Linked DNA regions of Diceros bicornis minor. The protein of the gene in region 1 purifies or fractionates together with the protein of each later gene. This does not show direct contact. Links are inferred from orthologs where the notes say so. Each region holds a gene or a part of one and is shown on either strand. Other genes may lie near its edges. The genes, in order: GOLPH3 and FAM20B.

Region 1 (14,898 bases):
TGCACTACTTTACATTCCCATGAGTACAGGATGAGGGTTCCAATTTCTCCACTTTGTCCACACACTTGTTAATATATTTTTTTAAGGACTTCTTTTTTTTTTTTTTTGGTGAGGAAGATTGGCCCTGAGCTAACATCCATTGCCAATCTTCCTCTTTTTGCTGAGGAAGATTAGCCCTGAGCTAACATCTGTGCCCATCTTCCTCTATTTTTGTGTATGGGATGCTGCCCCAGCACGGCTTGATGAGCGGTGTGTAGGTCTGCACCCGGGATCTGAACCCGAAAACCCTGGGCCGCTGAAGCAGAGAGCGTGAACTAACCATTATGCCACTGGGCCAGCCCCTGTATCTTTCTTTTTTTTAATAGCCATCCTTGTGGTTGTGAAGTGGTGTCTCACTGTGATTTTGATTTGTTTCCCCTGATGATGTTGAGCATTTTTTCATGTACTTATTGGCCAGTTCTTTATTTTCTTTGGAAAAATGGCTATTCATATACTTTGCCTATTTTTAAATTGGGTTGTGTTTTTATTATTGAGTTATAAGAGTTTTTTATATATTCTAGATACAGCTCCTTTATCAGATACATGATTTACAAAAATTTTCTCCATTACGTGAGTTTTCTTTTCATTTTCTTGATGATGTCCTTTGAAGCACATTTTAATGACTTTTTTTGTTTGTTTTTCTGCTGAGGAAGGTTGGCCCTGCGCTAACATCCGTGCGCATCTTCCTCTACTTTATATGTGGGACGCCTGCCACAGCACGGCTTGATAAGTGGTGCATAGGTCCGTGCCTCGCATCCAAACCTGTGAACCCAGGGCCACTGAGGCAGAGCACGCAAACTTAACCACTACGCCCCTGGGCCGGGCCCAATGATATTCTTTTAATGATGTTCAATTTATCTCTTTTTTTCTTTTGTCACTTGTGTTTTTTGTGTCATATCTAAGAAACTATTACATAATCTAAGATCATGAAGATTTATGCCTATGTTTTCTTCGAAACATTTTATACTTTTTAGGTCTTACATTTAGATCTTTGATACATTTCAAGTTAATTCTTTTTTTTTTTTGAGGAAGATCAGCCCTGAGCTAACATTGGTGCCAATCCTCCTATTTTTGCTGAGGAAGACAGGCCCTGAGCTAGCATTTATTGCCAATCCTCCTCTTTTTTTTCCCCTTTTTCTCCCCAAAGCCCCAGTAGATAGTTGTATGTCATAGTTGCACATCCTTCTAGTTGCTGTATGTGGGATGCCGCCTCAGCATGGCTGGACAAGCGGTGCGTCGGTGCACGCCCGGGATCCGAACCTGGGCTGCCAGTAACGGAGCGCGCGCACTTAACCGCTAAGCCACGGGGCCAGCCCCTGAGTTAATTCTTGTATGTGGTGTAGGGTAGGGGTTCAACTTCATTTTTTTGTATGTGAATAAACAGTTGTTCCTGTACCACTTGTTGAAAAGACTATTCTTGGGGCTGGCCCGGTTGGGCAGTGGTTAAGTTTGTGTGCTCTACTTCGGTGGCCTGGGGTTCGCAGGGTCGGATCCCTGGTGCAGACCTACACACCACTCATCAAGCCACGCTGTGGTGGCATCCCACATACAAAAAGTGGAGGAAGATTGGCACAGATGTTAGCTCAGGGTCAATCTTCCTCACCAAAAAAAAAAAAACACCACTATTCTTTGGCCATTGAATTGTCTTGGTACCTTTGTTGAAAATCAACTGACTATAAATGTGAGAATACATTTAGAATGTAGTCACTTTTTTTTTGGTTTTAAAGTCTATTTTGTCTGATATTAATATAGCCACTCCAGCTTTTTTATGTTTGCTGTTTGCATGATATATATTTTTTCATCCTTTATTTTCAACCTATTTGCATCTATGGCATAATAAATTACTATAAGTGCACTGGCTTAAAACAACACACATCGGGCCGGCCCCGTGGCTTAGCGGTTAAGTGCGCGCGCTCTGCTGCTGGCGGCCCGGTTCGGATCCTGGGCGCACACTGACGCACTGCTTCTCCGGCCATGCTGAGGCCGCGTCCCACATACAGCAACTAGAAGGATGTGCAGCTATGACATACAACTATCTACTGGGGCTTTGGGGGAAAAAATAAATAAATAAATAAGTTGAAAAAAACAACAACACACATTTATTATCTCACAGTTTCCATTGGTGGGGAGTTTAGCCAAGCTTAACACCATCCTCTGCTCAGGGTCTCACAGGTTGTAATCAAAGTGTCGGTTGGGCTACATTCTCATCTGCAGTTTGGGGTCCTCTTCCAAGCTCATTCATGTTGTTGGCGTACTTCAGTTGCTGTGTTTCTAAAGCTGAAACTATCAGCTCTTAGAGGCTACCTCTCTCCATAAGCAGTTCACATTATGGCTGTTTTCTTCTTCAAGAGAATGTCTTGAGAGTCATCAAGAGTTGTCTCAGCTGACTCAAGTCTCTGTCCTTAGGGAAGGGTTAGATCTGCCTGATTATACTCAAGGGACTGCCTGATTATGCCAGGCCCACCCAGGATAATCTTTCTTTTGATTAACTCAAAGTGAATTCGTTAGGGACCTTAATTACATCTGCACTATCCCCTCCCTTTTTGCCATATTCTAATAGTTAGAAGCAAGTCACCAATTCTGTCCGCAGTCAAGGAGAGGGGATTACACAAAAGCGTAGATACCAGGGCAGCAAGAATCATGAGGGCCATGTTAGAATTATACCTATGACAGATGGGGACAAGGGTAGAAGTGTAACTTCTCAATGTATGTGTCTTTTATCATTTTGATTTTTGAAGTATGTGAATTTATTACTTATTCAAGAATAAAATAAAAATTTAAATCTTTGAAACTTTGCAGTTGTCTCAGTGGATTTTTGTCTTTTATGACAAAGACCACTTTGTGTAATTGATTTTACCCTAAAATCATTGAGTCATTATGAGGTCCTGGTTAGGAGCATGGACTCTGGAGCCAGGCTGTGGAACTTTAGGCAAGATATTTAATTTCTTTGTGCCTCAGTTTCCTTTTTTGTAAAATGGAGCTAATTATAGCACATAATCAGGATATTGTGAGAACTAAGCGAGCTAGTATATTAGCATCACTCAGACGCTGCTGCTTGATAACACGAAATCTTAGTGGCATACAAAAATAAGCATTTATTTCAACAATCCTGAGGTGACTAGAATGGCTCTGCTGATCTCAGCTGGATTTGGCTAGGCTTGGCTCCGGACTATGGATTCCTTCTGCCTGCTCTGTTCTCATTCTTTTGGGATTAGCAGACTACAGCAGAAGAAGTGTTTTCACCACCATGAAAGAAGCTCTTCTCATAGCAGTAGCCAAAACCACAAGAGGACAAGCACATCTGCATACGCCTACTTCACACCTCTGTCTGCATCACACATCAGCTAACATCCTATTTGCCAAAGACAGTCACGTGGCAATTAGCAAGGTCAAAGCTTGGACCAAGCCCAAAGTCAAGGGGTGATGAAGCATACTCCATCTACTACAAGGCCATGGCAAGGATGTGGTGTATAATATGACTACAGGGGAGTGAAGAGTTGTGATCTATATAGTTCAATCTTTATTAACCTGTAAGACACTTACAAAATAAATGCTCAATAAATCTTTGCTATCATTGTACTAGATTGAAAAAAAAAGAAATAATATTGTTGAATGCCTCTGAAAGGTTTGCTGGTTATTTCAATAATACTGCTATGCTTCAGAATAAAGCTGGGATAGGAATGTAAAATGGTACAGCTACAGCCATTCTAGAAAAGAGTTTGGCAGTTTCTTAAAAAGCTAAACGTACTTACCATGTGACCCTAATTGCACTCCTGGGTATTTATCTTGGAGAAATGAAAATATGTCCACACAAAAACATGTACATGAATGTTAATAGCAGCTTTATTTGTACTAGACCCAAATTGGAAACAGCCCAAAAGTCCTTTAATGGATGAATGAGTAAACAAACTGTGGAACATCCATATCATGGAATACTACTCAGCAATAAAAAGGAACAAACTATTGATACACAGCATTTGGATGGATCTCAAGAGAATTTTGCTGAGTGAAAAAAGTCAACCTCAAAAGACTACCTAGTGTATGAGTCCATTTATATAGCATTCTCAAATGATAAAATTATAGAGATGGAGAACAGATTAGTAGTTGCCAGGGGTAGGAGATGAAGGGGGGACAAGTGTGGGAGATGGATGTGACTATAAAGGGGTAACATGAGGGATCTTTGTGGTGATGGGAAAATTTTGTGTGTGTCTTGATTGTGGTGTTGGTTACACAAATCTACACATGTGGTAAAATTGCATAGAACTACACACACACACATACACACACACACACATACACACATATAGGTGCATATAAAACCCATGAAATCTGAATAATGTCTGTGGATTGTACCAATATTCCTTTCCTGGTTTTGGTATTGTACTATAATTATATAAGATGTTACTGTGACCAGGGAACCAGGCAAAGAAAGGGTTACTGAGGATCTAGTCAACAACTAACACATCTGTCACATGTTTTTCAGACAAGAAGAAACTATGTGTTTTGTTTTGCAGAAATTGATGTCCCCATTTTGCAGATGTTGCTATCTTGCAGAGAAACTCACACGTTTGCAGCAAGACCCCTGCAAAATGTTCCAGCTCCAAGTGTCCTAAAGTTACCTTAATTCATTAGCACTTTAAATTCTCCTCCTCTGGGAGGGTCCAAACAGCCATTTTCAGATCATGCGATGTATGTGATAACATGTTTACCTGCTATGCATGTGACCTAAACAAACACAGTTGTTACAGAGTTATTACAAATAAACTTGTTATATTCTGCTCTCTTGTATATAAAGTCTCCACTGGCAGTCAGCTTGGGGCCACACGGCTTTGGGAGCTAAATCTTGTCTTGTCCGTTGCTTGCACAAGCAATAAACGTTTTCTTCACCTACTTTTGCTTTGTTTATGCTTTTCGACCCCATGCTCACCATTGAGTTTGGTTACATTACCATTGTGGGATACGGGTTAAGGGTACACAAGACCTCTCTGTACTTATTTTGCAACTTCCTGTAAATCTATAATTATTTCAAAAATTTTTTTATTAAATTTTGAGTTATGGTGAGAAAGGCTTCTCTTCAAGGTTATAAAAGAGTTCACTCATAGTTTTCTTCTGGTACTTTTATAGTTTCATTTTCTAGGTGTTTTGAAATTTTTATCAGATGAAAACAGAAAGCCCCTGTACATCCAACTCCCTACACAACAGCTCCTTTTGGAAGTTTCATATGCTCCTCAAAAACTCAACTGACATAAACTCATGCAAACTTGGTCAGTGCCCAGTGGTCCCTATCTCAGTGAATGTCTTTCTCATGCACTCTTACACAAGTCAGAGGTGGGTGTCAACCTTAAAAACTTTTCTCCCTTATATTCCACTGATTCCATAGTCAATCTTCCATTGATTTGTGTCAATTTTACTAAGTATCTCCTGAAAACATTCACATCTCACAGTCTCTTCTTCCATGATCAAAGTTAAGTTACCATGAGGTCCTATGGGACTACTGCAAAAACTAACTGGTTCCTGTATTCATTGTGACCACCTCCTTGGTACATCTGGTGAGCTTTTCAAAATAGAAATCTAATATTACACACCCATGCATTCCATCCTTCCCCACATAGAGCATTTAAAAGTCCCTTTGATGGCTTCTCATTGTATTGGTTGAAAACAAGACCAAAATCTTAAAATGGCCTCACAGCACTGCATGATTTGACCCTTGTCTGTTACTATCGCTTTTGACAACACTCTCCTCCTCAGCCCAGCCAAAATGGTCTTCTATTTGATTCTCCACCATCCCATGATCTCTCCTTGCCATAGGGCCTTTGCACATGCTATTTGCTCTTGCGAATGACCAACCCCAATTTGGTTTAGTTAACTTCTGTTCATTCTTTGGCTTACTACTTCCTCAGAGTTGCTTTCTTTGAGTCCCGGATAAAATATAAGATTCTTATATATCTGAGAATACATGCTCTCATAGTACTGTATTTCTTCTGTATTCAAATTTATACGTTAATTATTTATAACGTTTCTCAATTTATACGTTAATTAGTGTGGTATCGGTGAATATCTGTGCCTTCCACTAAGCAGCCTCATGGATGCTATGACTGTGTCTCTTTTGGCTCCCTATGATATCCTCATTGCTTAGCACACTGCCTGGCATACAGAAAATATGTATAAATATAAATATTTGTTTAATGATTGAATTAAGGACCTAGGTTACAATGCAGGCTTGCAATTTGTTAGATATGTTATGTTAAGCAGATTACTTAACTTCTCTGAACCTCAGTTTCTTCACAATTAAGATGAGTGTTTTAGTCTGGGACTCCCAGAAAGCAGGGTTTAAGACAAAGGCTTTTGTGCTACTATTTTGTTAGGGAGTGCAACTCTTGGGAACAGGAAGGGAGAGGGGGAGTGAGGAGTGAAGGGAGGGAGAGCCATACTAAGAATGTGTTGTTGAGCTTGTTGCAGCTAAGTGCCACTGAGAAGTTGTATAAAGGATCTCAGGGGCTGGCCCGGTGGCTCAAGCCTTTAAGTGCACGCGCTCTGCTACCTCGACTGGGGTTCCCTGGCCCAGATCCCGGGCGTGCACTGATGCGCGGCTTGGCAAGCCATGCTGTGGCAGCGTCCCATATAAAGTGGAGGAAGATGGGCACGGATGTTAGCCCAGGGCCAGTCTTCCTCAGGAAAAAAAGAGGAGGATTGGCAGATGTTAGCACAGGGCTGATCTCTCCACAACAGACTGTTATGACCTAGTCACACCTGCCACATTCTATGCATTTAAAGAGAGTCACTAAGTCTGGCCCACCCTCAAGGAGAGGGGAATCAGGCTTCACCTCTTGGGAGGAGGAGTATCAGAGAATTTGTTGACATATTTTAAACCCACCAGGGGAGGGGATGGGGAGAACAACTGGTTGAACAGGGGCAGGGCTGGAAGGAAGATTTTCACTACATCTATCTGCATACTCCTTGAACTATGTATTTGACTATGTTAAATAATAAATTAATTACATTTCCTTTAAAAAGAAACATTTTTAAGCTATTTGGTAAAGAACTGGGAGAGACATGAAGGAAAAAAGAGTTGAACAGGATGTGAATGGGGGAAATTGGTTGAGCTGAGGTTGACCTTTGCCCATAGACAGGAAAAAGGGAGGGACTACTTTGTGCTCACCCTGCCCCCTTCTCCCCACTCCAGGAGACTTAGCGTTCTCCCTTTCCAGGGCTTGGGGTGGTGATAGCGAGCGGCTAGTAGGAGTTCCGGATAATGGGTTTGGGGAGGGGGAAGAACTGTAGCCAGAATGTTCTATGGAACAGTTTTACGGCGTGCGTTTACCATTTATCGTTTATTATGGCTTAAGTCCTGTTTACAACAATATATTTTTCCTATCTAAACCATTCTGTAGCCACAGCCTGTGGTCTTTGTTGATTTTAAATAATATTGGATGGCATACAATGCTATTGCTGCATAATGTTATACGCTCCACCCTTCTGGCCCTCCAACCCCCCCCTTTCAAGTTCCATATCTATTCTTTAACATGCACAAACGGTCAAGTACGCCAAGAGGATTTAACCTAGCAATTACATTGAGAGAGATTTAATGTGTACAAAGACGTGGCATGAAACCTAACAGGTTTATTGTATCTATAAAAAGTTTGTTCAGGTCGAGTGTACTGACGTGGGCAGTACAAACTGTACTCGCGGCGCCCCGGTCACTTTACAAGGCGGGAGGCGAGGAAAAAAGTTTCGCGAACAAAACTATTCAATTTGTTCTAACCTTTCTTTTCATGCAGTAATATACCCAGAAAACACTAAAAGTCCACTTTCAAGCCATTTAAACGCAGTCGCTCCTTCGGAAGGGTCAGAGGCTACGCGCAGAGCGCGCGCCCTCTCCTCGCCCCGTGGCAGCGAACAAAGTCCTTCCTGTGGCTGTGGGGACCTGGACTCCAAGCCGAGTGCCTGGAAGCCCGGCCGAGGCCAGCCCCGAGGATGCTGGCGTCTGGGGTGCTAAGGACACAGCTCGAGGCCGAGCAGAGGGCCCCCTCGCGAGGCCACGGCTGCCCCGATTCGTGAGGGGCCTCACCAGTCTCCGGCTGCAGCCCCGGGTCTGGGGGTGGGGCGGAGGGGGAGGCGGCCTGAGGAAGGACACGTCACCGGACGGAGGCCGCGGCGCCGCTGGCGAAGGGATGCCAAGCCAGGGGCGAGCGCCGGAGGAAACCCGGGCCTGGGGAGGGGGTCGCGGTCCTCCGGCCCCCGCCCTGGGACCCGCCCGCCGCTTCCGGCGCCCTCCGGGTCCGCCCCGCGCTCGCGGTGCCACATCCTCCGGTGACGTCAGCCGGCGCCGCCATATTGGAAAGGCGCCGCCGCCGCCGCCGCCACCGCCTCCGCCTCGGCGCTCGGGCTGCCTTGGGGGCCGCGACCGCAGGAAGGAAGGGTCCTGTCTCCCGCCCCGGCGACGGCCGGCTCGCCCCCCTCGCCGCCACCCGTCTCCCCATGACTACCCGCGGCCCCGCTGCTGACAGCTGTCCCCCCAGCGCCCGGATTTAACACGGAAGCCCGGGTCGGGGGCCGCGGGGGGGCGAGGAGGGAGACCCGGTAGGTCCCGCGTCCCTCTCGGCCCGGCGCCGGAGCCATGACCTCGCTGACCCAGCGCAGCTCGGGCCTGGTGCAGCGGCGCACCGAGGCCTCCCGCAACGCCGCCGACAAGGAGCGGGCGGCGGGCGGCGGCGGCGGCGGCGAGGACGACGCGCAGAGCCGCCGTGACGAGCAGGACGACGACGACAAGGGCGACTCCAAGGAAACGCGGCTGACCCTGATGGAGGAGGTGCTTCTGCTGGGCCTCAAGGACCGAGAGGTACGGGCGCGGCGGGCAGGGCGGGGGCGGCCGGCGCGGGCGCGGGGCCGGGCGCCAGGCGGGAGCCCGGCCTCGGCTCCGCGCGGCCGTCCTCCGAGCTCGGCGCTCGGGAGCGCACGGCCGGCCCGGTGCCTCCAGACCCTCCGCGCGCCGATTGCTTGGATGTTTCCTTCCACCTCTCCCAGTCTTGTCTGTCCTGTCGAGTCCCTGGCAGTCTATATCTTGCTTGCTTTTCCCGCGTGTTTCACCTGTGTAGACCCCAGGGTACGTTTGCAGACTGCCCGTTAGCGTGCAACGCCTGGAACCACCAGGGCCCTGAACTGCTGGGTTTTGCAGGTTTTAGGATTTGGGAGGGCTCCACGGATCTGCTTTTTGGGGGCTTAAAAAAACAAAACAAAACACTTAAGGTGTACTGTTTGGAATTTTGCAAAAATTTCGGTGCAGTGGTAATGGAGGCAAAAGTTATTTTACTGATAAAAGTGAGGCAATTCTTAATGAAACCGCCTGGAAAATGACTTTCTAGGTAAACTTGCTTTGGGTGAGAGATTATTAGAATTGCTTTACGTTTTATCAGTCGGCTGTTCTCGAGAAAGTCTTACTATCTTAAGGAAGGGTTTTTCCATGGGGTACTCGAAATGCTAGATTTGTGATTTAATGAAAGGCCTCAAAGCTTTGGGTAGGTTCAAGTTGGAATAGATAGTTTGTGTTCTGGCTTTGAAAACGGTTATTTTCACCCCAGTGTCTTGTGAGAATTTTCACACATAGAGAAGTTGGGAAAAAAGAATGCTACAGTGGACACCTGGGTGCTCACTTCTTAGGTTCTATAATTAACATTTTGCTGTATTTGCTTTACCACTTATCCACTCATCCACAAAAATGATTATTTTTAAAATCAAACTTGAGGACGTTTAGAAAGATGGATGGATATTCTATAAATTAGGTACCATGAGGTAGTTTCAGAAACTTGTTTTATCCTAGTATGGAAACTACCGACAGCACATTCTGAGTCACACACAAATTTAAGTTTTGTCTGTCTTGATTTTTAAGAAAGATTTCCCAACTCACAAAGGCGGGCAAAAAAATTTCATCCTTATGAAACAACTCTTATTTCACTGAAACTTGTCAGATATAGGCTAAAGTTTATCTTGATAGAAATGTCTAGAGTATTTGCAATATCCAGGTTTCCTGTTTGCTCAGATTTTAATAACGATCACCTTGAAAAAAGTGGAAGTCCCTCTGGCTGTGAAAAGGGCCCAGTATCTGTTTATTAATCACTGAGTTATGATGAAAGCAGGCTGTGTGTGAAATTACTTTTTTTTTTTGGATGAAAAAGCAAACGAGATGTATAATGTCTTAGAAATGTGATTTTTAGAAAGTTTTCAATTTGCCATTTTAGGCTTCACAATTTAGAATCTTGGTAATAAACATTTTTCTTTGTCTTTATCTTTTTCCTTTGGGAAAAAAGTTACATTTTAGAGAATTAAAAAAAGCAAAATGAAGAGAACAAGTCATTCATATTCTTGAGTGAACATTTTGGTTTATAGTTTTTGATGCTTTTCTATATGGATACCGTACTGTGTGTAAAACTAAAACTTAAAAAAACCCCTAAAACTAGCCTTGGCTTTCTGAGTCACATTAAGTGAGGAATTATTGTGAGAAAGTACCTTTTTGCTTTTTCAAGTATGTGTTACTTTAGGTGTTTAAGCTAAAGCATATTAACATGCTATTTTTCTGTGATTGGTTTTCATGAAGATGATCTAAAGAATTATTTCTCAAAGCTTGATGGTATTCACAAAGTTTAGACAATTTACAGTTCTTTGGTGGCAGGTAATTGAAACCATCTGTTGTATTTATTGCGTGTCATGGGTCACTATACTTTGCCATGTCATGGCCAACATCCAGACACTAGCTAATTCTGAGCATTTTTTGCTGATTTCAACAACTACATAGAGAAATTTATTTTCCCCTTTTGCAAGCAAGTCAGGGAGTTGGAGTGGAGAGGGGTGAAGTTGAGATTTTGCGTTGCTTTAGATTTTGGTTTTAGGGAATAGCCTATATAGTTTTTCCTGTCCTCACATCATTACGTACTAATCATCAGTCCTGTCAACTCATCTACTCATGTGTTTTTCTCCCTGGGAGATTCCCCACCCCCATCACTCTTTAGGGGCAGGAATTACTCTCTCACCTACAGTCTAGGCATTTAGGCTTGAATATTGTTAGATTTTAACTTAATTTGATATTAAGTAGTTCCGAACTTTAGCCGTAGTATATATGTTAGTACATTCACTGCTTTAACTTTTTATTATTTTAACTTAGCATACATATTTGTAATATTTGGGTGCTTTTAAGATATTTAGAAGCTAAACTTTATGGTTAGGCAGGTCATTAATGCTGGACACATTTTGTGTATATGTGAACTAACCTTATTTGAAATCAATACAATCAAGAAAAAATTTTAAGACATTGTGAAATGGTGGAGTTAATTTTACTTTGACTTTTTAAAAAAGCTGAGACTCATTCTGGTTTTGTAAAAATATTTTTTGTTGAATAATAAACCTACAGAAAAGTGCACATATTATATGTGGTGAATTTTTACAAACTGGACACACCTGTTAAACCAGTGCCTAGAGCAAGAAACAGAAATGACCAGCTCTCCTGAAGCCCCACTTGATCTCCTTTCCAGTCACTGCCCAGTCCTCAAGGGTCACCACTAGCTTGACTTCAGAATTCAGCATAGAATGATTCTGCCCATTTTTGTACTTTCATTTGTGTCTTACTTTTGTTTAGCATTGTTGGTGAGATTCATCTACATTGTGTGAGGTTGTCATCGTTCATTCTCATTGTCTTATCAACTTACTTTTAACACGTTGATAATCTACAATATTTAAAACGTTACTTTGACTTATATCCTGAATCTGCTTGTTCTCCCCTTTTCCCCTTTACTGAATAGAAGGCTCAGAAGGTCTGGCTTCAGATTACACATTAGGGGTGACTCTAAAGTCATCATGAGAGAGTGTTTCTTTTTTAATTTTAAGTACACATTTCTGATAATTTTCCTTTCTGGCTTTTATTAAAACACAGATGCCTGGGCCCCTCGGGATTCCAGTGCTCAGTATGAGTGGAGCATCAGTGACATAGATGTTGGAGTAAATCTTCTGAGGCTGCAGCAAGGATGGCAGGATAGGTTTAAACTTGAATTCAACTTCCAAATAATTAGCAAGACTTCTATAATCTCCCTTGTGTTTGAGGGGGAGGGACAGCAAATGAGCCAGGAATTTTCCTTTCCCCAACTATTTGATTTTTCCATAGATAGCTCCAGTAGTCAGCGTCTTCAGAAGACCTCATTGAGAATTACTGGTGTCATATGCTTTTAAATGTCTTCATTGGTGGCAAATCTTAGTGCTTTAAGTTTGGATTTGATTATTTTAAATGGCTGGGTGTAATTTAGAGTGTGCCTGTGGAACAGCAGAAGTGGAAAGAGGCATGTGTAGTCCTGGCCCGAGGTGTATCCTTTGTTTTACATATCATTGCAGCTCTCTAAGCCTCAAAGTTCTCCTCTAAAATGGAGAGAGAAATAATCCTTTCCCATGGTGGTTCTGGTTGGACTCTTGCAGACATTTACTGTTTTAGTCTCCACCATGTCTGCCCCCGGTTTTGTCTTGCTTTTAAGGCGTTCCCCATTGTGTGGGGCCCCAGGGTGTCCTATTGAAGCATTTACCCCTTCCCTCTTGTGGTGCAGCCAGACCTAGACTTGTCCAATCAGATGTTTTCTCCTGGGGCTTTGGGTCTTGAGAGCAGAACAGGCTGTGGGGGTTTTTCGAGACCTCCTAGAGTGTGGAAGTCCCCCCTTATCCACGGTTTTGGTTCCCCCTGGTCAGCTGCAGTCCAGAAATATTAAACGGAAAATTCCAGAAATAAGCAATTCATAAGTTTTAAATTTCGTGCCATTTTGCATAGTGTGATGAAATCTCACTCTGTCCAGAATGTGCCTCATCCCTTTGTCCAGTGTGTCCACACCGTATGTGCTACCTACCCCTTAGTCATTTAGTAGCTATCTTGGTTGTCAGTATATGGTTACAGTATATTGTTATAATTATTCTATTTTATTATTAGTTATTATTGCTAATCTCTTACTTTGCCTAATTATAAATTAAACTTTATCATAGGTATGTATGTACCTATCCCAAAAGGGATTGGTTCCAGGATTCCCCCCTCGGATACCAAAATCTGCAAGTACTCAAGTTCTGTAAATAAAATGATGTGTTATTTGCGTATAACCTATACAGATCTTCCTGTATGCTTTAAATCATTTCCAGATTACTTATAATACCCAATACAATGTAAATGCTTTGTAAATAGTAGTTATACTGTATTGACTAGGGAAAAGTGACAAGGAAAAAAGGCTGTACATGTTCAGAACAGACAACCATTGTAGGCCTTTCGATCTGCGGTTGGTTGAATCCATGGATGCGGAACCCTCGGATATGGGGGGCCCAAGTGGGTAGGAAAAAACATAGTATATATGGGGTTTGGTATTATTGCAGTTTCAGGCATCCACTGGGGATCTTGGAAGGTATCTCCTGCGGATAATGGCGGGGGGACTACTATAGTTTCAGTGTGTGGATCAGACTGTCCTCTGACATGGTTCTTTGAGCTTTTTTCTCCCTAGCCCATTGATGCTGTCTTTTCCATCCAGATTTTCTAGGCACTTTTTAATTTTGTAAGCCTCAAGAGTTGTCAAGTAAAGTCCCTTTTTCAATAGCCAGAGTCAGTTACTAATGTTTCTAATGCTTCCAGACGAGAACGCCAATGCAATAATTTCGCTCTGTATCTTGAAAAATAAGTATGCTTGAGCTGAATAATACACACTTAGGGTAAAATAGTTAAGTTTAACTAAAATAAGGGAACTGACTTTTATGTGGCTTTTAAATTGGCTCCAAAGATGGGTCCCAAAGATATGTTCCATTTTTGGAATAAGTTTCCCAAGGTCACTACTTTGAAATACAGGGCTTATCAAGATGTGTAACTTTGGGGCCGGCCCCGTGGCTTAGCGGTTAAGTGTGCGCGCTCCACTGCTGGCGGCCTGGTTTCAGATCCGGGTGCTCACCGACGCACTGCTTCTCCGGCCTTGCTGAGGCCTCATCCCACATACAGCAACTAGAAGGACGTGCAGCTGTGACATACAACTATCTACTGGCGCTTTGGGGGGAAAGAAAATAAAATTAAAAAAAAATAATTGCTAAAAAAAAGATGTGTAACTGTGTGTGTAAGGAAGGTTGGCCCTGAGCCAACATCTGTGCCCATCTTTCTCCATTTTGTATGTGGGACGCCGTCATAGCATGGCTGGATGAGTGGTGTAGGTCCATGCCTGGGATCTGAACCCATGAACCCTGGGCTGTGAAAGCAGAGTGTGCAGACTCAACGACTGTGCCACTGGGCTGCCCCTGGTTTTTAATTTTTATTTTTATTTTATTGAGGTCATGTTAGTTCATAACATTGTGAAATTTCAGTTGTACATTATTATTGTTAGTCACCATATATATGTGCCCCTTTAGCCTTTATGCCCACCCCCCAACCCCCTTCCCCTCTGGTAACCACTAATCTGTTCTCTTTGTCCATGTGTTTATCTTCCACATATGAGAGAAATCATACAGTGTTTGTCTTTCTCTGCTTGGCTTATTTTGCTTAACATAACGCCTCAAGGTCCATTTTCCATACGTGCAGTGGTATGCACCATCTCTGTATATCAAATCTGTTAATGAGAAATTCATTCAACAAATATTCAGAATTTCAAGATGTGCTAAGATTTTAGTAATTTAAAGTACAATAAAGGCTTCTGAGTTTTGGAGTTTTGTGATTCCTTTACTAACTATTCCTTTCATATTTTTGAAAGATTTGAATTTTCATTTATTTTTTTCAGGTGTATTTAAGAGTAGGTACACGAGTATGAAATATATAGGATCTCAAAAATTAGTTCTCGGGTTCATTAAACCACTTGATTGTACCTTTTAAACAGGATT
Region 2 (15,230 bases), on another chromosome or scaffold:
TCCTTATTCAGCGATCTAGTAAAAATTCTCTAGTCTCAGTTGACCAGTTCAGTGTTCAATTCATTTTATTTTCAGTCAACAAATATTTATTGAGCAACTACTGTGTACCAGACACACTACCAGATTCTAGGTATACAGATATGAAAAAGACAGTCCACACCCTCAAAAAGCTTTCAGTTGGTGTGGGAAACAGATGATTTCAATATAATAAGAAGATAGATAGTCATGATTATAAATCTGTATGTACACACAACGCATAAAGATTTAATTTATATGATAATAACAGCACGAAAGAGGGGAGAAGGAATGAAACTACATAGAAGCAAAGTTTTTGTATATGATTGAAATAAATTTGGTATTAATTTGAACTATATTGCTATAAATTAAGATGTTAATTGTAATCCCCAGGGAAATCATTAAGAAAATAACTCAAAAAAAGGTATAGGAAAAGAAACAAGGGAATTAAAATGGTATACTAGAAAATATTGACTTAACACAAAAGAAGGCAGTAATGGAGGAATAAAGAAAGAAAAAGTCATAAGACATATAGAAAACAAAGATCAAAATGGGAAATATAAATCCTACCTTATCTGTAATTACATTAATTGTATTAAACACTACAATTAAAAGGTAGATATTGGCAGAATGAATTTAAAGAAAGATAATCCAACGACATGTACAAGAGACACACTGTAGATTCAAAGACACAAATAGATTGAAAGAAAAAGAATGGGAAAAGATATTCCATGCAAAGAGTAACCAAAAGAGAGCTTAGGTGGCTATACTAATATCATACAAAATAGACTTTAAAACAAAAATTGTTGCTAGAGACAAAGAAGCACATTTTATAATGATAAAGGGGCAATCCATCAAGAAGATATAACAATTATAAACACACATGCTCCTAATAATAGCACCCCAAAATAAATGAAGCAAAAACTGATAGAATTGAAGGGAAAACAGACAATTCAACAATAATAGTTGAAGACTTCAGTACCTACCCCACTTTCAGTAATGGATAGAACAACTAGACAGAATATCAACAGGGAAATAGAGACTTGAACAACACTATAAACCAACTAGACCTAGAGATCTGTAGAACACTCCACCCAACAACAACAGAATGCACATTCTTCTTATGTGCAATAGGAACATTTTCCAGGATAGTTCATGGGTTAGGCTATAAAACAGGCCTCAATAGATTTAAAAGAACTAAAGTCATACAAAGTATGTTTCATAACCATGATGAAGTGAAATTAGAAATCAATAACAGAAGATAACTTGGGAAATTCACAAATATGTGGAAATTAAACAACACACTCATAAATAACCAATGGATCAAAGAATTAATCATGAGGAAAATTAGAAAATGAAATGCAAACAAAACTTATAAGATGTAGTTAAAGTAGTGTTTAGAGGGAAATTTATAGTAAATGCCTCTATTTAAAAAAGAAGAAAAATCTTAAATCAACATAAGATGAATGGATGTGCAGGGTCCTAAGGCAGCTGAGAGATGGGGCACTTCGTTTTTCAGTAAAGATGACATTTTAAGGGATGAGTAAAGCTGGAGGAAGGTGGGAAGGGAATTCCAGACGGAACAGCTTGGGTAAAAGCATACAGGCATGAACTAGCATGGGGTATGCAGGAGAACTCGGCATGCTTTAGTATTTCCAGAACGTAAATTGCGTGGAAAGAGAGGCAGAGAAGGCAAGTGGGTCCCAGCCCTGGAGGTTTTGTATGCTCTATCAAGAACCTTAGGCTTTATTCTCTGGGTCACTGAAAGGTTATAAGCAGGTATATAATATGGCTCAGATTTCCTTTTAAAAAGATCTTTCCAGATGTAGTTTTCTACATGGATTTTCTAGAATAGATTGCAAAGGGTTGATGTGGGAAGGTTGGAGACAGAGGCCAGAAGAGAGATCACTGCCATAATCCAGGAGGGAGAAAAAGGAGTTTGAACACAAGCAGTGGTGGTGAGGCTGGAGGGAAGAAGCTGGATTCAAGGAGTCTTTAGGAGCCATGACTGGCAGCTCTTGATACTGACTGGAGGTGGCAGTGAGGAAGATGAGTCTAGGACAACTGGTGTTTCTGGCTTGGGTGGGTGGTGGTCACATTAAATGAAGACCAGAATACCAGAGGAGAAACAGGTTTGAGGGTGTCTTGGGCATTGCCTTAAACTGTTTTTCTTTTTCCTCCTTTTCCTGTGCGTTGCCATGGAGGAAATACTACCGTGGTATTGCCATCTCTGCCAGGGATTTGCTAACCTCTTTGAAAACCCTTGCACACTCCCCTCATGGGTCCCCTGCACTCCCTTCCCTGAGAGACTTCCCTGCCCATATGTCATGCCTCCCCATTTCTCCCACAAGGCCCCCCAGGGACACACCAGGCACGGCAGCAAGGTGTTGGCTCCTTTCTCCCTGGGCTCATAGTCCCACTGTGTCGAATATCTTGTTCTCCCCAGTTCTGGGCCACCTCCCTGTTTTATGAACATCTACCTTCTAGTATGGAGAAACTGCAGGCCTGAGCACCAGATATCCCCCATGCACGTGTTTTATTTGGCCTGCCCTGTATTTAAAATGTATATATTCTTAAATGTAAATGCCTTTGAAGGACAGACCAGTTTCTCTGTTCCCTCACCACTTCTTATTGTCTCACTGTTGGCCTGCTTTGCTCATTTCCCTTCATGTTGGCAGCCACAGGCTTCCAAATGTTTAAGCTTCACTGGAAAGAGAGATGCAGGGAGTCTGGTCCACCAGGGGCAGCATCTTGACCAGCCAGGTCATTGGCTTCCCTGTCACATCTTTCTCGCCCTTACTCACTGCAGGACAGGGGTTTGAAGAGAAATGACTGGTTTCCTGTAGAATGTCTTCTGAAAGACCAATCTTACCTCCCCCTCAAAAATAAAAACAATTGCCTGTATATCAGACTGAGTCATATGAAATTGCCGATATTCAACTAGTTTTGCCCTATAAAGATGGCAATTTCACATAGTTCAACCTATTAACATGATCCTGGCTTAGTCACTAGTAGAACAGTGGTTCTCAGCCTTGGTCGCAAATTAAAATAAGCTGGGAGCTTTTTAAAAAATACCCTTGTTAGGACCTCCCCCTAAGAAAATTAAATTAGAATCTTTGAGGATGGTGGCAGGCATAGGGATTTTTTTCATTTTTTTTATTGATGTCATAATAGTTTATAACGTTGCGAAATTTTAGTTGTACATTATTGTTTGTCAGTCACCATATAAATGTGTCTCTTCACCCCTTGTGCCCACTCCCAGCCCCCATCCCCCTGGTAGCCACCAAACTGTTCACTCTGTCCGTGTGTTAGTTTATCTTCCACACATGAGTGAAATCATGCGGTGTTTGTCTTTCTCTGTCTGGCTTATTTCGCTTAACATAATACGCTCCCAGTCCATCCATGTGGTTGCAAATGAGAAGATTTTGTCTTTTTTTATCGCCGAGTAGTATTCCATTGTGTATATATACCACAACTTCTTTATCCAATCATCAGTCAAGTGATGCTTGGGTTGCTTCCACTTCTTGACTATGGTGAATAATGCTGCAATGAACATCGGGGTGCATAAGCCTCTTTGGATTGTTGCTTTCAGGATCTTTGGATAAATACCCAGTAGTGTGATAGCTGGATCATAAGGTATTTCTATTTTTAATTTTTTGAGGACTCTCCGTACTGTTTTCCATAGAGGTCGCACCAGTTTGCATTCCCACCAGCAGTGAATTAGGGTTCCCATTTCTCCACAACCTCTCCAACATTTGCTATTTTTTGTCTTGTTGATTATAGCCATTCTAATGGGTGTAAGGTGATATCTTAGTGTTGTTTTGATTTGCATTTCCTTGATTAGTGATGTTGAACATCTTTTCATGCGCCTATTGGCCATCTGTATATCTTCCTTGGAAAAATGTCTGTTCATGTCAGGCATGGGGATATTTTTAAAGTTCCTGTGCAGCCAGATTGAGGACTACAGCTTTGGCACACCCCTGGGTCAGTCACTAGAGAGGCTCAAAGAATCTTCAGCTTAACTCCTTAGCACATTACCTGTAGGTGATAGGAGCTGAGTTTGAAGAACCCAGAACTTCCATGTGGTTGCAATGACCTCATGCAGTAATTAATGCTATTACTTCACGCATTAAATATGAGTTAATAAATTAATGAGTTAATAAAAACTAAAGAGCTTCCATCACAGCAAAAAAAAAAATTTGTATTAAATGTGCATGTAGTACCATTCTAAGCATATTACAAAATGACCACCTTGTGGGAATCAACAATCTGGAATTTGCAATATTGTCTCTGCCAAACCCATTGAAGAGCCCCTTGGCATTAGAGAAAGACACAACGAGCAGGAAAATGTTCAAAGACATGGCCTTGGGCATTCATGCAAGAGCATGTACCACAATAAAGTGTACATTTTGGGGTGATTAATTAAAATGACTGCAGCCTACATGGCAGTTAAGTGAAATACAGCTTTGAGAACTACTACTCCTTTGCATTCTTAGTAATTCTAGGAGTTTCACTTTCCCCTTAATGTATTTTTCTTTTTGCTTTTAATGAGCAGATTAAAAAAAAAAGTAACTGAATAAATAGATAAATATATTTTCAGAATAAAAGAGAAAATAGCCCATATTACATTTTGGGGTGATGAAAATGTCCTAAAATTAGATTATGGTGATGGTTGCTCAACTCTGTAAATATAATAAAACTATTGAATTGTACACTTTAAACAGGTGAGCTTTATGGTATGTAAGTTATATCTTAATAAAGCTGCTATTTTAAAAATAAACATAATACTAAGGTGGAAACAAATAACTGAAAGATTTCCACCACTTTCAGAATATGCATCCTGAATTTCTTGGCAGAGAAGCTGGGTGTGTCTGTGTGCTTTATAATGCTGTCCCTGGGACTTGAGAGGTTTGCTCAGACGGCATTGACAGAGATGCCACGTGAAGGGTTAAGTGGGCAGTCCTGATGCTGTAAGCAAGGGATGGGCTAGGAGTAGCTCTGCAGAGCCTGTGGCAAAATGAAAGAAAGGAGTCTGCCCAGTTGGGAAAGAAATGCAGAAGCAGGTCCACAGAGAGCCCCATGCAGAGAAAAAACCTGCCCAAGTGCAGTGGAGGCAGAGCACATGCTCCTGGAGGACACGTGCGCTCCTTCACTCACTGATGCTCTGTCACCCTCTCCCAGGCTCTCAGCACCTTGGAACAGGGTGAGCTCTCCTACAGGTCCCTTCAACTTTCTTGATGTGGAATTAATTAGTTTCAGTAGGATCCATCAATGTGGGTGTATTCTCGTGTGTGTGTGTGTGTGTGTGTGTGTGTGTGTGTGTGTGTGTGTGTTTTGTGTTCGTGTATGCAGGCACCTTGAGACAATACTCCCCTTATACCTCGGGATTGCTGAGCTGTTATTTGAGTCCTGGGGCTTGACAAATTGGCAGATACTTAGAAATTCCGAAACAGTCTAAGGAAAACACAATGACGAAGGGGCCAAGAAAGAAACTTCAAGGGCTCCTGATTTCCCATGTCTGCAGGACCTATTCTCCTAAAACTTCTCTTTTAAGTGTTGTGTTTACCATGGGCCATGTGAGCCCTACGTGCTAGTGTAGTACAGTGTTGGCACTACAGAAGATACAGATGCAACGAAAACACTCTTTCAGCCCCAAAGGGTTTACACTCCAGGGGAAGGGGTCAGACATATCCCCAAAGACGTCAATACAAACCATACCGCAAAAGAGGGACAAAGTACTGAGTCTTAGAAGCCCAGGAAAACACACACAGTTGGAAAGGTCAGGAAAGGCTTCAACAGCAAATGGCCTTTGGGAGATATGTAACATTTTCACAGGGGTGGGGTGAGGGGGGCCCAACTGTGGAAGTGGGGGAAGGGGGTGCCCTCAGACAGTAAGTGAGCCCTTTAGGGCAGAGGGTCAGGAATTAGCAGAAAATGGGCCTGGAAAGGTGGACTGTTACTGGAAATGCCAAGCAGAGAAGTTGCCATTAAATTCTGTAGGCTGTGGGCAAGCCACTGGAGGGTTCTGCACTGGGGCTACTAACCAAGATTCCTCTGCTGAAGACGTGTGTGCACCGCCCTCGGCTGGAGGGGGACAGCCAAATTCCTGTTCTGCTTTCAACTCACGGCACTTCAACACTTCAGTGCAGAAAAGGTAGTCTACTTGAGGCACTCCACGGGTGGAAATAAAGATGAAATAAAATCAGTCTGTGTCTTTAACAGCTTTGCAGTTTGGGAACAGAGAAGAGAGGAAAAGGGGGAGATTAGACAAAGATACCTAGAACCACAATACATCACATGAGTTGCGAAAGAAGCATCATGGAAGCCTTGGCAAAGTGCTCAGACTTTCCCAATGGGGGCTCTGCCTGACCTCCCATCCTATATCTCAATACTAGACTGTGAGCTGCTCAAGGATGAGGACCAGGCCTTCTTTGTCTTTGCACAGCCTGGTCTAGTTCAGTGTCTGGCACTGAGTAGACATCCACTGAAGGAACGAAGGAAGGGAGGAACACAGGGAGGGAGGGAGGGAGGAAGGAAGGAACAAATTACCTAACTTTGGTTCACATTGTTCGTCTCTTCTTCCACCCATGTTTTGCTCACCTCAATCCTCCCTCCCTGACAATACCAGCCCACACTATCTTCCTGGACCCTGATTCTTTCAGTGATCACACAGTCTGTGCTGCATAATTTAAGTCCCCCGTATTCCTTGCAGCTGCTTCCTGTGTGCTAGTCATGTAAACTCTTTGAAGGCAGAGTGCCCTTCTTAAATGATTGCATCCCCTACAACACCTAGAATACAATGACTATTGATTGGGTGGAGAATAAAGCCCATTACAGGAGGAGAGGGCAGAAACTAATATCCTGGAGTTTTGGGCACTGTGCTGGTATTGGGCATACATTCACAAAGAGGCTGGATAATGTGGCCTAGTGAAGAGAAAACTGGAGGACAGAACAATTTTGCTGTCTGAAAGCCCTTGACACAGAGGCCCTGAACCTTTGGCTCTCCTTCTCTGAGGACAGAAGAGGAGAAAGTGTGTCTGTCCTGCAGCATGTGAGGGGCATGGAAGGATTTGATGGATGTAAAACTAAGCTCTGGAGTGGGTTGCCTAGAAGGCCATGAACCCTCCTCTCTGAATGTCCTTAAAGACAGGGGGGATCACTAGGAAGCTGGCAGGATGTGCTGGCCTCCTGAGCAGTGACAGTGGGACAGTCCACCCTCACTGTCCTTGTTAGAGTTACAGGCAAGAAAGGAGAGTCCCTTGGAGGTAAAGCGTCTTACAGGAAGTGTTGATTTGCCCTTTTGCTTTATGATCTCCTGATGTAGTGAACAAGGTTGAAGGAGATTAGCTGACTGCAGGCAGACCAATGTTCCTGTGTAGAGAAATAAGGAAGACTCTCATTACCATCCAGCTAATTTTCCTAAGAATTATGTGTTCCGTGGTCAGAAAACGACCCCCAAAGCTACGTGCAGAAAAAGGCTGATACAACTCCTCCTGCATTTGACCGTGTGCTCCTTCTTGCAGTGATTAATGTTTTCTGCAGAGGGGCTGCCTCCCTAACTAGACTGTTGGGGGCCAGTGTCAAGCCCAATTATTTCTCTAGGATCTCCTGATAGTACATGCTCAATAAATACTCACAGGAATAATAACTAACATTATACAATAATTTACAAGTACTGTCCCAATCTAGTCCTCACAACAACCCTGTGAAGTAGGTACTATGATTAACTCCCGTTTTCCAGATAAGGAAATCGATACTCTGAGAGGTTAAGTGGCACACTCAATATCATGCAGCCTGTAAGGAAGAGTTCTTTCCACTACACTCTGCTGCTTAAATGAACTATATAGCCTGAAAAAAGTGTCAGCTCGGTCTTTCCCCCATCACATATCTTATCCCATGGAGCAATGTGCATTATAATATTTCAGGGAGAGGTATACTAAGTCCAAGCTTTGTATATGGTGAATAAACGAATGGATGTATTATACAGCAGATGCTCTGTATGCCTTCAGTGGAAAGGAAACAACTTAAGGGGTGGGAGAATCTTTCATTCAAACTATTTATAGGGAGTCTACTGGGTGTCAGGCATTGGAGACCCAGACACAACTCTCCTGCCCTCATGGCACTTACAGTCCATTGCAAGAGACAGATGTTAAGCAACTATTACAGTAAACTAACCACAGTTTTGTTAAATGCTACTAAACGTAGCAGGGAGCTTTGCTCTGAATCCGAAGGAAGAGCGATTTGCGCTCACTGTAGGAAAGTTGGCCTCTTTTAGGCAAGGAGGATACATTTAGACAGGCAGAAGCAGAGGCAAATTAAAAGGGTAAAAGAAGGAAGGAAATTGCTTCTCACAAACAGAACTTGACCTATGGGACCCCAACTCTCCAGTCCCGCTGCCTGGTTGCCTACCTGCTTAAGAAAATCGGGAAGGAAAAAGCAACGGCAAGACGAAAGAGACAGGTCACTTTATGTAAGCTGGTGGGGCGGGGCGGCAGAGAGAAGGCGAGTCGTGAGCCGGCGCCGAGAGTGTTAACCGGGCATGGCCCTGGACGGAAAGGGTTAAGGGGGGCGGTCCAGAGCGGGCCCGGTAGGCCCGCCCATCGGAGGGTGAGGGTGGGGCCTCGCAGGAAGAGCCCTTGGATTGGTCGCGAGGAAGGCGTTACGCTAGGACGTTACCAACAGTCGGGGGCCGCGAAGGCGCGGGGTGGGTGTGGGAGCGCCGGCTGAGCGCGGGCAGAGGTGGCCGGGGGATGGCCGGGCCGGGGGAGGGCGGGAGCTGCAGTGGTGGCGGCGGCGGCTGGGGGCGGTGAGCGCGGCGTGGGGCTGCCCCTCCCCGGAGGCGGCAGGGGCCGCCGGGGCCGCGCCGCAGCGCACCGCGCGGGCGGCCATGGAGCGAGCCTAGGGCCCGGCAGGTGAGCGGCGTGGGGGCGGGGGAGGGTGCGCGACCCCCGCCCTCGGCGCAGCGGGCTGGCGGGCGGGGCGCGGTGCGTGGCGCGCGTCGAGCGGGGCTGCCTGGGGGCGGGGCGCCGGTGCCCTGAGCGGTCCTCGAGCGGCCGCGGGCGGCTCCTGGACGGTGGCGCCGCTCCCTCAGAGAACCGGCCCGGGCCGTGCTCCCTGCCTCGCTGGCCCCGAGGCGGTTCCTGCGGGCGGTCGTGGCTGAGGGGACGTGGCCTTGGCCGCCGCCTCTACGGCCAGCCTGAGGCGCGGGCCTTACCTGGGGGCGCGTCAGGCCGCCCGGGGTCCTTTTAGCGACCAACCCTCGCGCCCGGACGCCGTCCCCTGAGGCGACTAGCCCCGGTGCCCACCTCGGGTCCTGCCGAGCGCCCGCGGCGGCGGCCCGGGGAGGATCGCGGGCTCACCTCGTAGCCGCGAAGCGCGAGTGACCTGCAGGCCCGAGGCGGGAGGCGGGGTAGTTCTGCCCAAGGGTTCGCGGTCGCTCGGGGTCTTGCACCCCGCGCTCGCCGTCGGGCCAACTTAAGGAAATGATACGGTTGTCCACAGTGGGTTGCGCTTCAGATTTCATTTCCGGGTGTGATGGCCCGGCGATTTAAGAGCGAACCGAAACGTTGCCATTAATAATGAATGTGAGCACTTGTCAAGCTGCGTCCTTGGTTGCGGGATCTGACAAGAGTTTCATTCTAATCAGGCTTCTGTTACCTGGAAGTCTCCTGGTAGGCAGAGAAGGGACAGAAAGATGTTGGAGAGAAGGTGGAGGGGACAGGGCATGGTTGGTGGTTATGGAATTATTAGTACTTTAAATGGCCATATCATTATTTGGATGGGTGAGGAGTTTATAATTTGGGAAAATGAGAGATGCTTGAAACTGACTTGAGTTGAAGACCAGGTATCAATATCGTTCCCACCCAACCAGTTTCCCTCTGGAAATGTGATTTCTCAGCTTGAAAAGAAGGAGTAGTAGTGTGGGATCTTTTAGCTTTTAAGTTGTAGGACTTTATAAATATGTAATCTGGTAGTTAAGATTGCTGTTTACTAACTATTCCTATCCTCCATATGTTGTAAATTAATGCATACATTTCATTAGGGTTGATTTTTTTAAGGTAGGTTAGAGACCTCAGTGTGCTCATGTATGGCAAACATTTCTTGAGTTTATGCAGGACCTTTGAGCTAAGCCTTAGAGCATTTCCACGTATATTGTTTTTCATCAAGACATGTTTTTGAGAAACTGAGGTAAAGTGTTAAAGATGCTAAATTATTTGCCTAGAGCCAGTCTAAGGTAGATTTAAAATTAAATTAATGTTTTGTGTTAAATTAATAACTTTTCTGAAGTTTATGAAAATGTTGGACTTTGGCCTCTAGAACCATACAGTGGACTCAGTCAACAGGATTGACTGTACTTACCAGAGTTTGAAAGTACTTATCAAAGGAGAAGAAGGCACAAGCAAGTAATTCAGACTTGCAGCCTCGCTCACAGTAAAGTGCAGTGATAGAAATGGAGGTAAAAGATGGTCAAATCTTGGAGCTCACAGCTTTCCTTCAGTGTGGCTGGTGAAAATGTGACATTGATTTGTTCAGTTTGTTTCTCTGGAATTAGTAGGAAAATAGTGAAGGGGAGGAAGACTATACCCACTCTGGGTCCTTTCTGGCTGGGCTACAAATTAAATTGACATAAGACTGAATAGCAGGAGAAAATCAGACAAAGCTTTATAACCTGTATACATGGGAGAAACCAGGGAAACTGAGTTTCTTAACAAAATGGTGGAGGTTCTCTTCTTAAATAGATTTAGATAAAGACAAAGGAGGATGTTGAGGTGCGGGGGAGTCAGTTATGTGTGATTACCAGAAAAGCACAGTAAGGTTATTATGCAGCCTCACCTTCTGCATTGATAAGTTTCTAGAGATGAGATCATCTCCCCCTCCCCCACTCTTCCCAGTACAGAGAGGGAGATACTTTTACAAATGGAGATTTCCCTTACAAATTTAAATGTTTGTTAAACAGAACTTTGATAAGAATGGACTTAGCAAGAACCCTCCTATCTGTCGCTTTTCGGAGTAAGTTTGGGGGAAAGTCAGTTTCTTTCAGAGAAAATCAAGGTAAAGAGACGTGTTTTGAGGTGGCCAATTTTCATCTTGCACAATAGCTATGATTTGGTTAAAGAATGAAAACACATGCCTTGCTTTTCGTTCTGGCTACTTTGAATTAGGGAACAAACAAATTACTTTTTCTATCATCTAATCCTTTATGTCATAGAATTATTTTATGTTGAGTTGATAATTCTTTGATTTTTAGTCTATTCTCTTGATTTCCAGTTGTAGACGCCAACTCTTTCACACAGCCTTAAAGCTTCTGCTTTTTATCTTTTCTGAATTTTAGAATTCTAAGGGAAATTTTCTTTGTTTCTATTACTTGCAGGGCAGACTTCAGCTTCCTACACTTTGTGTGACGATCATTTCAGTGGTGTAAACCCTGAAGCCAGATACTTCAGCTCTTGACTTGAGAACTTTTTAAAATAACAGCCACAGTGGTTGTCCCTTGGTGATTGCTACAATCTCATAATAGAGGTAGAAAGCTGCTCTTTGTATTCTGTGGCCACAGTTACAAATAATAAAAAGGAGACAGTCTTCTGAAGCTGATGTCAGGTCACTCTGGGATTAAGTGCCAGGTGGTTTTGTAGATTGGAGTGGGAAGCACAGTTACAATGAGACACTACAGTTTGTTGTAATAGTGATGATGTACTTTTCTCTCTGCACCTAACAGTGCATAGCACATAGTAGGTGTGCAGGAAATATTTGCTTGTTGAATGAACTATTGGAAAACAGTATGAGGGAAGGGGAAATAGTCTAATGCATATACTCAATTGTTTAGTTCTTTTTGTAAAAAAAAAATAAAAAAGGCCAAGAAAATGTGTTTCAGATTCCTGTTGAAAATATGCTATTGCAACGATTATCTGTAAAGGGTGTTACTTGCTGGAGCTGCCTTGAGATTTGATTCTGTGATTATATGGTGTTCTAGCTACCCGCAGCCTGGGAGCAGCCTCTGGTGCTCTGGTTGGGTGCAGCTTCACAGACTTGCTCCTGCAGCCTTCTCTGGCTAGGCTAACTGAGCAGTTGGATTGATAGTACTTTTGCATTAATAGAAGAACTAGAGCTCTTGGTAATGGCCACACCAGTATCATTGAACCTGACCGTCCATCTTCTCCTCCCTCATATTGTGGGAGGGAGAGGGGAGTTATCCCTCCTTTAAGTGCTTCTCCAGCAGCTCCTCATTCCACACCTACGTATCTCTCCCTCTTTTCCTTCCTTGAGCTGCCTTTATAACCCCCAAGAACTAATGAATTCATTAGCACAGACCTGGGATACAGAACAGAAGACCTTGCTTTGCAACTGAAATCAGCTTCTGACCAACTTATAATGTCCTGTGACTGCTAGAGCCGGCTAGGAAAGAATATAATGCAAAGATCTCACTTGTGATTTTGTCTTTCTTATCCAAAAGCAAAAGAGGAAAGGCCTAGCTCGGGACCTGATGAGTCTTGGGGGTGCATCTATCATCCCAGTATGAGATAAGAAAGGGAGGCTGATGCAGAAAAAAGATACAGAGCTTTGGTGTTTGTTTGGGGGTCTGTACTTTCTGGCAAGGTAACACCTTATGGAGGGAAGGTGTTAATTTGGGTACATTATCAAAGGAGGTCAAGGAATAGGAAATTACGAATGTGTAACAGAGCCCAGTACAGGGTGAGACAGTGATGTCTATCATTCAGTGCTCTCAAGTGCTGTCTTTCTGCCTTGTGTATATAGCAGTGCCTCATTTATCTACTATTGTTAGGCAATAAGGTATGAGCGACAATTCTTATTTTAGCTATACTTTTTGTGGAAAAAATTCTACATGTATTATATGCTTTGTTTGCTTTTTAAACAATATAGTGTAACCTTTCTTTATTGACTCGAGGTTATGATTACTGGCGTCCATTACCAACAGTAATTGAGCAGGGCTTTGAGGTGATTGAAATACATAGGTTGTTTTCCCCCTCTGCTTTTTTAATTCTTGCATCTGCTTTTAATAGTCAATCTGTCTCTTCTTTCAGAAGTGGGAAAGCTGTACTTGTGCTGTTGTTAGTGTCCCTGCTGCCCTCTTTTAAATTTGCAGCTTCTGATCTTCTGTGGAATAGCAACCCAGGTAACTCTGCTTCCTGAAATTGAATGTAAAACAGCTAAATAGGCTTTGTAAGGGTCTGCCTGCTCTTCTCTATTAGTGGATGAACTTTGTGAGCACTATTTTGGCTGCCCAAAGCCCTTTTGTTCATTTCTTGTTTCTCATCCTTGGTTTATTTATTTATTTTTATTTATTTATTTTTTTTGTGAGGAAGATCAGCCCTGAGCTAACATGCATGCTAATCCTCCTCTTTTTGCTGAGGAAGACCGGCTCTGAGCTAACATCTATTGCGAGTCCTCCTCCTTTTTTTCCCCAAAGCCCCAGTAGATAGTTGTATGTCGTAGTTGCACATCCTTCCAGTTGCCGTATGTGGGATGTGGCCTCAGCATGGCCGGAGAAGCAGTGCATCGGTGCGCGCCCAGGATCCGAACCCGTGCCGCCAGTAGCGGAGCGCGCCCACTTAACCGCTAAGCCACAGGGCCGGCCCTCATCCTTGGTTTAGATAATGAACTTGCACTCTGTATAGGTGTGTTTATGTTCCTGTGGTTCTTTTCTGTCGAAAAAAGAAAATAATATGGAAGTACTAGTGTTGGTTCTTGTTTCAGAAAGCATTGCCAATAATACTTGAAGATCTGGTTCCAGCCCTGTCTTGTATCATTCTTGGGCAGTGTCTTGGACCATCTGCAATCTTCATCTTAGCATTTTCAGATTGTCTTTACTCCCAGTCCCAACCAATGCTAGGAATCAGATTGGCACTAGCAGTTACCTTGAGAGGTGGAAGCGGAGTATAAAGAAGGCAGCAAGTGAAAATTGAGTATATAAAATTGGTATACATATTTGATATTTCTGCCTTTTTTACTGTATATCTGAATTCCTTACGGGACTTAGTTTCCCTATATCTGTAAAAAGTGGCCATCTTTAAACCAAAGAGCTGAAGAAATTCTTAGAACTGTAAAGGTCTCTCTCCCTGGCTCTTCACTCCTTTTATTCAACAAGCATTTATTGAGTACCTCTTATGTGTCCTGCACTGTGCTAGCTTACTTGGAAGTACAAAGAGGAAACATCTCCGCTGTTCTGAGGAACTCACAATATAGTAGAGGAGACAGGCATGCCAAAAAATACATATGTGTATGTGCATGTATATGTGTGTGTGTGTATTTATATTCATATTATAACAAAAGGATCATGCGTGGAGCCACTCAGCTAAAATTCAGCATAGACCTGGTTGGGGTTCTATTATTTCTAAAGTAATCTGTGGCCTGTCACCTTGACACATCCTAGAACATAAGGTTAAAAATGTGAGGTGTTAGGGCCGGCCCGGTGGCGTAGTGGTTAAGTTCTTGCGCTCCGCTTCGACAGCCTGGGGTTCTCAGGTTCGGATCCTGGGCGTGGACTGATGCACCACTTGTCAAGCCGTGCTGTGGTGGTGTCCCATATAAAGTAGAGGAAGATGGGCACGGATGTTAGCTCAGGGCCAGTCTTCCTCACACACACAAACAAAAAAAGTGAGGTGTTATTGTTGCATAAAGCTTATATACCTTTCCAAGAACTGTAGTGAACTGAACAGTAAAGATGGAAAACATATGAAAATCTGAAGGAGAATGTTATAGTATTTGAAATTCCATATTTCCACACAACATAGGAAATACATTCTATAATACAGCTTTAAATGGTGATTATATACTGACAATTGAGCAGTGAAATACCTAAAACTTAGGAAGGTTCATTATACCTGGCCCATTTGAAACAGAATGCAAATTCTTAGGCATTTTCAGAAAGTTTCTAGATCAGTGAACACTGCTTCTGTTGGTTTTTTAGAACAAATTGCACTAGCAGTATGAGCTGAAGATTTTGTTTTCATTTTTCAAGGAAGAGGGTTATAGGGTTGCCCTAAATCAAGGTTTAAATGGGACAGATTGCAGGAAGTGAATTTTTTTCAAAGAGGGAACAAACGCTATTTATTGCCTGTTTTATTTTTACTCTCACCCCCAGGAAAAAAGGCTGCCTTAATGCTTCATTAATGCCTAGTGATCGTTTTAGTTAGCTTCCGTCACAGGGAACTGTTAGAGGATTTCATGTAGGGGATTCTGAGTTTACAGATATGAAT

Evidence for each region.
Region 2: the proteins of GOLPH3 (region 1) and FAM20B purify together in Homo sapiens (affinity purification with mass spectrometry; 3 studies listed by BioGRID and IntAct, with this or other methods). This does not show direct contact. The link is inferred for Diceros bicornis minor from reciprocal best matches to the Homo sapiens genes GOLPH3 and FAM20B.

Annotation. Positions count from the first base shown.
Region 1 is NC_080759.1:36,126,321-36,141,218, forward strand, and holds the start of GOLPH3 (Golgi phosphoprotein 3), read left to right. Parts: upstream 1-8,410; 5' UTR 8,411-8,656; coding exon 8,657-8,878; intron 8,879-14,898. UniProt on the Homo sapiens protein: Phosphatidylinositol-4-phosphate-binding protein that links Golgi membranes to the cytoskeleton and may participate in the tensile force required for vesicle budding from the Golgi.
Region 2 is NC_080743.1:87,899,160-87,914,389, reverse strand, and holds the start of FAM20B (glycosaminoglycan xylosylkinase), read left to right. Parts: upstream 1-8,842; 5' UTR 8,843-8,927; intron 8,928-9,201; exon of another isoform or gene 9,202-9,599; intron 9,600-9,629; exon of another isoform or gene 9,630-9,686; intron 9,687-13,055; exon of another isoform or gene 13,056-13,147; intron 13,148-15,230. UniProt on the Homo sapiens protein: Responsible for the 2-O-phosphorylation of xylose in the glycosaminoglycan-protein linkage region of proteoglycans thereby regulating the amount of mature GAG chains.